Callithrix jacchus: one gene and its partner. The protein of the gene in region 1 purifies or fractionates together with the protein of each later gene. This does not show direct contact. Links are inferred from orthologs where the notes say so. Each region holds a gene or a part of one and is shown on either strand. Other genes may lie near its edges.

Region 1 (4,357 bases):
CCTGATCCTGTTCGTTGCCTTCCATGTCCACCTGGAGAGGAGGCTGGGTGTGGGTGGGGAGGGGCCTCAGCCAGCCTCAGCCCCAGATCCTGCCCCTGGCTGGATCCAGGGTTTCTGTACCCCTTTGGCCATCAATCGGGTCAGGAGCAGGGGCCCAGGAACAGAGGCCCTCCCCTATACCCCTTGTCTACCTCATTGACCTCTCCATCATCAGGTGACTCATTGTAGTCATTCATCTCGTCCATGTCCTGCATGTCCTCATCATCCTCTGAGTCCTCTTCACTATCCTCATCGTCTTCATCATCTTCTTCTTCCTCGTCATCATAGTGCTGGTGGACAGGAGAAAGCCTGTAAACCCTACAGGCCTGTGTGAACCAGTTCAAGAACTAACCCACTTGGAGCTTCTCTTTAGGGCCAATGAATGACACCCCTCTGACCCCTCAACCCTGCCCTCCTTGAGTCTATCAGGCTGGTGCATGTTCTGCAGGACCTTAGTGCTAGGCCCTGTGCCCACCCCTTCTATCTCCCCTTTTTGGCCTTCACCAAGATCTGAGAACCACAACTGCTCTAGGTCAGAAACAGGACATTCAGAATTAGAGCAGACCCTCGGTCCACCCTGGGACTCACAAAGTCCCCACCTGCTAGAGCCACTCACCTCTGATGCTGGCTTGCCAATAGGAACCAGGTTATTGTCTTTCTCTGCGATGCTTTGGAGCTGTGGGCAAAGGCATGGAGGAACAAGGCCACAGCCCAAGTAGAGCAGGTCAGGGGCATGGGACTGGCCCATTCTACCCAAAAGAAGACCCACACATGTCGGGGAGACGCTTCCTCCCAGTTCTCAGGAAGATTCAATCTCTTTCTTGCCATCTGCCATTTATGAACTTGATCCAAATACCTAAACTCTTGGAGCCTTGGTTTTCTCATATAATTATGTTGAGGATAAAGTGAGAGACTTACCAGCCTAGAAAGTGTCATCTGCTAGATCCTCAATTAATAGTCAAAATTATTTCCTATGGTTTAGGGAAAAGAGCTTGGGCTGAGTGTCAGTAGCCTGAACTCTAATCTGGCCCAGAAGTCCCATGGTCCCCCTGTAAATTAGGGTACTACAAGATGAAAACCCTGGCTCCCTGGCTCCCAGACTGATTATTCCCAGCTCATGGCGAAAGCTCTTCCTGGGCAGATCTCCATAGTAAGGCTCGGTCATGGCCCACTGAAGGGGGTCTCTGTCTGTGCTGTGCTAGGTGCTCACTCACCCAGGCCTGATGCTGCTGTTCCTGCTGCTGCAGCTCTGTCTCTTCCACACAGGGTCGATCCAGATTAAACCACAGTGTCTCAGTCACACGAGGGAAGAGTGAGGGGAACAAAGTGGACATGGCTCCTAGACTAGGAGAAAGGGTCAAGTGAATGTGTTTTGTTTTCATTTTTATTTGGTTGTAATTTGATTTAGGGATAGGGTGGAAGATACCAGGGAAGCAGGCCTCCCCACTAGGAATCAGACAGACCTGGGTTTGAGTCCTGGCTCCACCACTCACTAGCTCTTTGACCTTGGCTGAGTCACTTAACCTCTCTGGGCCTCAGTGTCTTCATCTGTAAAATGGGGATAATAACAATTATACCACCCTCAAAGTTATTCTGATAATTAAGTAAATAATGGATAAAGCCGTTTGCAGGCTGTTGAAGGAGGGAGGGGAATGGGAGTCAAGTGTAGGAATAGAAATCCAGAATGCAGACTGGCATTATGAAATCATACAAAATTAGAGGTAGCAGGGTTCTACTGAAATTATCACTACCTCTTCTGTACACTAAAACCTGCTTTTTTTGCCCCTTTATGATGGTCCATACCGCACCTACCCAGTGTCAGAAATTTAGGACACTAACCACCTCTCTAATGAATCACGGCCAAATGTCGGGGTGGGGGAATTGTAGTATATGCAAGCAGGGTTCAGTAAGACATTCTAGGAGGCATGAATAAGTGGATAAGTAGATGGAAGACTGAATGGATGAACTAACATATAAGATTACAATCAGCTTTGAGGGGCTAAAGGAGCCGACCAAGAGTGCCAGATAATCTGAATTAAACTGAGGACAAGCAAATTGAGGCCCAGCGACAGGCAGAGACTGGCTTTAGGTCACACAGTGAGTCGGGGCTTAGAATTCTCCGGTGAAAGGAATCCAGGCCGGCGCTAGAAATAAGCAGGAGAAAAGAATCGATGCCTGATCCTGCTTTTGTCCTAATTTATCTGACCAACCCAGGGCCAGCTGCTGCCCTTCCCTGTATCTCAGCTTTCCAACCCTTGTAATAGGCACAAGAGCAAACACCTTCTTGTCCAAGAAGTACTGACAGGCCAGAGTTCTTGGCTCCGAAAGCCCAACCCACCGCCGCAAAGCCACCGCCCATTCTTTGCTTATTACGATAATGACCATGCAGTTGACCAACAGAAAGAAAGTAGGGGCGGGACTCAGACAGAAATTTGGCCTTATAGGGTTGCTAAACGCTAAAAAAGCGGGGCCTGAGTAGAACCAATTAACTGAAAGAAATCCTGGGTGACAGGAAGTGACACCAATGAATGACGGATCTTGTGTGACGGGGTGGGGCCTAGTCTCGAGGAAGCGGTCAATGAGCTGGAGATCTTTGCGGGTTAAGGACTCTGAATATGGAGCTCCAGAAGAGTCGGGTCAAAGGAAATGGGTTTCTCTGGGGTAAGAAGGAATGAAGGGGCAAGGAGACGGCCGCAGCCTTCCTTCTGTACTTACCGCGCGGGGAGGCGACCGCCGGCGGCGACCCGGAAGCGCTTCACCCAGCCTGAGCGGAAGAACCCACCAGAATCCGGGACTCACCAAACGCATGCGTCCTTCGTCTCCTTTTGTTGCCCCCCCCCCCCCCGCTCCCGCCCACTAACCCGGATGTGACGTTGACATACCTTAGTCTTATTGTTAGGGAAGGAAGTGTGCCGCGCCTATCTATCTGCCCCGCCTTGAGTCTCAGCCAATCGGCCTCTGCATTCTGGCCCCGCCCCGACAGCTCCGTTTAACCCCTACCCCTTTGTTCCCAGACACCTTTTACTTGTTAACCCTTTCTGAAGAAGAGCTGACCGCAACTTCTTAGTACGAGGGCCATTTGTCCTACTGCATTCCAGGAAAACTAATCTGTTTCTACCCCGGAATCGCTGGTTGAGGTTACGCCCCTCCTGTCTGTGCTCTCTCAGCTTCAGTTTTCCATTTGAGCACATTCATTCTTAATTTTTGCTCTGAACAAAAATATTTGAGTTCAACTATTACTATATTCCAGGCTCTCCTAGAAACTGGGGATAAATCTATGAATATGCTCGCTGCCCTAGAAGACCTCACAGTCCCAGGAAGCCAAACCCTGCAGACTTGCAGTGGACTCCCTGGTCTTTTAAGGTTGCCTATTGAGTTCTCTCTGATATTGGAGATTATGTACAGACTTGAATGACAGCCTCGGTACAGCATTCTGCTGCTGGGGGAATCAGCTTCCCTCAGGCCTGGGCCAGGGCCCCTTACAGGTCAGCCTCTTCACCTCTCCCATTCCTTTGCTGACGCCTCTGTTCTAGTAACCTCTGACTCAGCTTCCCCTTTAGAGATACTCATGTTTTCTGGCAACAGAGGTCCTTCAAACCCAATTCCTATAAAGCTTCATCACTTACCAGCCTCTTCCAGGGCCAGCAGGCATCCACAGTTCCAGTACTGTCCTGGCCAGATGTGTGGGTTTGGGGAAGTCCTTTTCCTCTTTCTGGACTCAGTTTCTTCATCAACCAGCATCATAATCTCTCCCCAGCCTTCCTTTTATCCTGGGCTGATGTGAAGACTAGATAAGAATTGTTCAAGAGGTCGTGTACTGTGCATACTGAATGTGATTATATTGCCAAATAGCACTGCTTCTTATAAAATTTTTCATTAAAGAGTAAACTTTGCCTCTTGGAAATGACTACCTTTTTCATTCATTCAACAAATACCTATTGAGTGCCTTAGTATATGTCTATCACTATTCTTAGTAATGGGTATACAGTAGTAAACAAAACAGAACAAAAAAGTTCCTCTTTTCATGCAGCCTTCATTCTGAGAGTTGTAAACAATAAAGAACATAGATAAATAAAATATGTAGTTTTAAGATTTCAGTAAATACTGAGGAGAAAAAATAAATCTGAGAAGTGGAAATAAAATGTTTGCAGGGGAGGTGTTTTATTTTAGATTGGGGGGCCACAGAAGTCACTGGGAAGGTGACTTCTGAGTAAAGGTCTGAAGGAGGAGAGAGCCTTCTGATTTCAGGGAGAGAGAATAAAAGTGCAGAGGGCCTATAATGGCCTTGAGCAGTGTCCTCTGGCATCTTTTTCTTACA
Region 2 (4,268 bases), on another chromosome or scaffold:
GCCTGGGTGACAGGGCGAGACTCTAGCTCAAAAAAAAAAAAAAAGAATTGAAATTTTTTTACATTATAAAACTGGTGATATTTAAGTTTAGGAAGGTATTCATTACATCAAGAGGTAAAGATGAACTCACAACTTGCATCTTACCAGAGGTTATATTAATATTTCCAGCTTCGATTCCTGCTTTAAGTCCTTCTTTCCCCAAAATCCCAGATTCTCCTTTGGCCAGACGCTCCCTCTCCTTCTCTTCCAAACTTCCATAATAGATATGTGGCTTCTTCACAACCGGAGCAACTAAGTCATCAGGTGCTTTAGTTTTGGTTGCCTGCTAAATCAAAAATCTGACTTAAACTAACGCTTAATCTTAACAATTTGCTGGACTTCCCCAGAGGATGAAGCTCACCCTGAGTTTCACAGTCCTACTTCCTCTGTAATTGAAAGGACAAATTGGACACTGCTTAAGATGTTCTTCATTGATTTGAGGAGATGAGGGTAGGGGGAGGGTGTTTCAGTCCCTCACTTTGGTTGACAGGATTGATAAAACTAGTGAGGTTCTCTCGGGTATTTTTCTATCAAGGGTTTGCTCTGCAATCTGTTTACTTCATTCTGTTGGAAGTGTGCAATCTCGTGTTTTACGATGCTTCCAGGGTTACTGCTCATCACTGGGGAAGTACCAAATATAGATGAAATAACTAACGCGGTGCTAAAGAAGAACAAGTTACAAGATTACTAGCGTATATATTTCAAACGTTTCTAGACCTGAGGCAGTAGGAGTTAGTAGGTCTCATTAAAGTTCTGAGATCTGCCAAAGGCATCAATCTTGGCCAAGACACTTCCCTATTTCAGAGCACCGTTACTGGATCAGTCCGAAGAGATGTTTGCCCTTCAGGGATGTAGTCGGAGAGGTGCAAATAAGCTATAGTCCACGAAAGCGCTTAGGGATCAGGAAAACGGTGCTCGGCTGTCTAGGACACGGAGTCCCACAGCCTTCCTCCTCGGCCCTCCACCGCCTTCTCCCGTTCCCTAACGGCCCCTTCCCGCAAGGACCCCCTTCCCCCTTCGCGCTTCCTGCCAGAGTGAGCTGAGATCCCGGGCTCTGTACCGTGGAGGAAGCTCGCGAGGAAGCCATGCCGGGCTCTGGAGAAAAGCTACAGCGAAACCTGAGGTCTCCGATTCAGATCGTCCACCGCGCGCCCAGCAGAGCGGATGAGCATCACCGATCGGAAGTGCGTCACCGACCGGACGTGTGCCGAGAGCCGTAGCCGCGCCCGGAGCGGCGCGGAGCATGATGGAAGTCGTAGTAGGAAGCGGTGTGATCGTATTGAGGGGCATGCCTCCTAGAACATCGGAGAAAGCTCGCGCAAGACGAGATTCTGCTGAGAGAGAGGCTCCAAGTAGTCTGGGAAGTGTAGTCCAGTTGGCTTACCAATAGTTTCACTGGGGGAGCGGAGGTTCCGGGAAGGGGCTGAACAGGCTTGAAAAGAGGTAGGTGCGTTGCGTCGCGCGGCTCGGGGCTGAACTCTGGAGCGAGTCGAGGACTTCCGGGGTCCGCCGTGCCACCCGGGCCTACCGGAGCGTTTAAGTCTTCCTGGAGCTGAAGACCTTGTTACCATGGAAATCCTCGCCAGGGATCCGAGGTACAGGCTTGGAGCTAGGGGACAAGGGCTGTTTTTCTCCACAATCCGGAAGTCTTCTTAGGGGCCCCCTCTGAGCTTGATGGCTCCGCGGTGGATTTAGGCTGCTAGAAGAGCTCCCTAGTGCCAAAGTCAAATAAAGACCCGGCGGAAGAGCTTCGGCCTGACTTTGTTGATTTGTCTAGAGCCGGTCGTTGTATCAGATTGAGAGTAAGATGATGGATAGGAAGGTGTCAGATAGCTCTGTACGTCCCTGTGCCCTGCTGGATGCTGGGGAATTAGAGACAAACAAGGTAAGTTTTTTTTTTTCTTTTGAGACGGAGTCTTACTGTCGCTCAGTCTGGGAGCGCAGTGGCGCGATCTCGGCTCACTGCAACCTTCGGTCCACCCCGACCCCGGGTCAAGCGATTCTCCTGCCTCAGCCTCCCGATTAGGTGGGATTACCGCCACCGGCCACCGCGCCCGGCTAATTTTTGTATTTTTAGTAGAGACGGAGTTTCACCATCTTGGCCAGAGTGATCTTAAACTCCTGACCTCGCGATCCACCCGTCTCGGCCTCCCAAAGTGCTGGGATTACAGGAGCGAGCCACCACACCCGGCCAGGATAAGGCTTTTATCTCCACGTGGGAGGTGGATGATTCTCAAAACATTGAGGTTTCCCTAGCTGGCCAGATCCCCATCCAACCCCCTAGAAAAATTACAGTAATAATAGATTTTATTTATTGCACATTTTTAAAATGCCAAGTTATGTTCCAAGAGCTTACTCTTTACTCTGCATTATATTATTCACCAACAATAGCAGAGTCAGATACAGATGAGGAAACTAAGGTCTAGTGAGAGATGAAACTAATTATTCAAGATCAGTGGTGTAGTGGGATTAACCTCTACAGCCACACTATTAACTGTTACTCTATACTTCTTCCTAGTGGAGAGTTTTTCACAGTTTGCAGAAAAGGTAAAATGTATAGCAGATTTTTTTTGTTTTTTGTTTTTTGAGACGGACTCTTGCTCTGTCACCCACGCTGGAGTGCAGTGGCACGATCTCGGCTCACTGCAACGTCCGCCTTCCGGGTTCAAGCGATTCTCCTGCCTCAGCCTTCTGAGTAGCTGGGATTACAGGCGCCCGCTACCACATCTGGCTAATTTTTGTATTTTTAGTAGAGACGGGGTTTCACCATGTTGGTCAGGCTGGTCTCAAACTCCTGACCTCCTGATCTGCCCGCCTCGGCCTCCCAAGTGCTGGGATTACAGGTGTGAGGCACCGTGCCCGGCCCTTACTGACTGTTTTTTATAGATACACTCTAGGGGATTTTAGGGGATGCTGTGGAGAATATACAAGTGATGTCATCAACAAATATTAAACTCAATTGGAGGAGTTGTGTTTTCTCAAAAAACAAACAAAACAAAAACAGTTTTTATTAACATTTACTTTGCGATTTCAGGCTGTGGAATGCTCTCTTGAGCCTGTTTTCTACTTCTTTTTTTTTGTTTGTTTTTGAGTTGGGGGTCTCATGGTGAGATCGTGGCTCATTGTGGCAACCCCAAACTCCTGGGCTCAGGTGGATCCTTCCACTTCAGCCTCCTGAGTAGCTAAGACTGCAGGCACACACTACCAGCCCAGCTAATTTTTTTACTTTTTTGTAGCGACAGGGTCTTGCTAGGTTTCCAGAGCTGGTCTTGAGTCTCCTTTGTGCACTCTTCTCTCTGCCTGCTCTTGGGAGTGAGTCAGCTAAGACATCATTTTCTCCAGGAAGGCTTGCCTGACATCCTTGTCCACCCCACACTCAGCCCAGACTGGATTAGGTGCCCGTGTGATGCCAGTGCCTTACCCTCATCAGAGTTCTCATTATGCAATATCAAAGCTTTCTCTTTGTTTTCTCCACAGATTATGACTGTACCTTTTAACTTTGTAGCTGGAGCACAAGAAGTATTTGTTTAATGAATGACGGACACATTTAGGATCTGTTTAAACGCTGAGAATAATTTTGTGAATTGGTGAGTTGGCGTTTTCATGAGATTTAGCAAACTGATTCTAGCATTCAGGAGTGATCACAAATCTCTGACAGTCCTCATGTAGATTAAATTCAGCGGTTTGTCTACTTTCCCCTCTATACTAAGTTAAGATGTGACAGTTTATTCTTTTAGCTAGAATATTTCTTTGAACGTGACTGGAACATGAAATTAAAGTGATGGTTGCCTGGAATTTCTCTCTTTTAGGCAGTTTGCTATTTTAAATTCTTACAGAATAGTTTTTGGATTTTTCAGAGTTGTGGATCTCCGTCATGTATTAAAAATGTAATAATGACATACCTAAAGACTTAAGAAGTCACTGGGCACAGTGGCTTTGGCCTGTAATGCCAGCACTTTGGGAGGATGAGGAGGGAGGAACACCTGAGCCCAAGAGTTTGAGACTAGCCTGGGCATCAGAGAGAAATCCCATTTCTACAAAAAACACAAAAATTAGCCAAGTGTGGTGGTGTACACCTGAGTTCGAGCTACTCAGGAGGCTGACGCAGTAAGATTGCTTGAGCGCAGTAAGTTGAAGCTGCAGTGAGCTAAGGTAATGCCACTGCACGCCAGCCTGGGCAAAGAGCAGACACTATTTCTTAGAGCAGACCCTATCTCTTTAAAAAAAAA

What was found. Proteins that work in one complex are often made in the same cells at the same time.
Region 2: the proteins of ANAPC15 (region 1) and CDC26 purify together in Homo sapiens (affinity purification with mass spectrometry; 3 studies listed by BioGRID and IntAct, with this or other methods). This does not show direct contact. The link is inferred for Callithrix jacchus from reciprocal best matches to the Homo sapiens genes ANAPC15 and CDC26.

What each region holds. Positions count from the first base shown.
Region 1 is NC_133511.1:68,833,355-68,837,711, reverse strand, and holds the start of ANAPC15 (anaphase-promoting complex subunit 15), read right to left. Parts: upstream 2,833-4,357; 5' UTR 2,755-2,832; exon of another isoform or gene 2,320-2,754; intron 1,588-2,319; exon of another isoform or gene 1,503-1,587; intron 1,384-1,502; 5' UTR 1,374-1,383; coding exon 1,254-1,373; intron 716-1,253; coding exon 656-715; intron 330-655; coding exon 192-329; intron 44-191; coding exon of another isoform or gene 32-43; coding exon 1-31. UniProt on the Homo sapiens protein: Component of the anaphase promoting complex/cyclosome (APC/C), a cell cycle-regulated E3 ubiquitin ligase that controls progression through mitosis and the G1 phase of the cell cycle.
Region 2 is NC_133502.1:161,586,189-161,590,456, reverse strand, and holds the start of CDC26 (anaphase-promoting complex subunit CDC26), read left to right. Parts: upstream 1-1,453; 5' UTR 1,454-1,482; exon of another isoform or gene 1,483-1,924; intron 1,925-3,516; 5' UTR 3,517-3,573; coding exon 3,574-3,626; intron 3,627-4,268. Other genes in the region: PRPF4 (U4/U6 small nuclear ribonucleoprotein Prp4), read right to left, coding at 145-325, 1,100-1,126. UniProt on the Homo sapiens protein: Component of the anaphase promoting complex/cyclosome (APC/C), a cell cycle-regulated E3 ubiquitin ligase that controls progression through mitosis and the G1 phase of the cell cycle.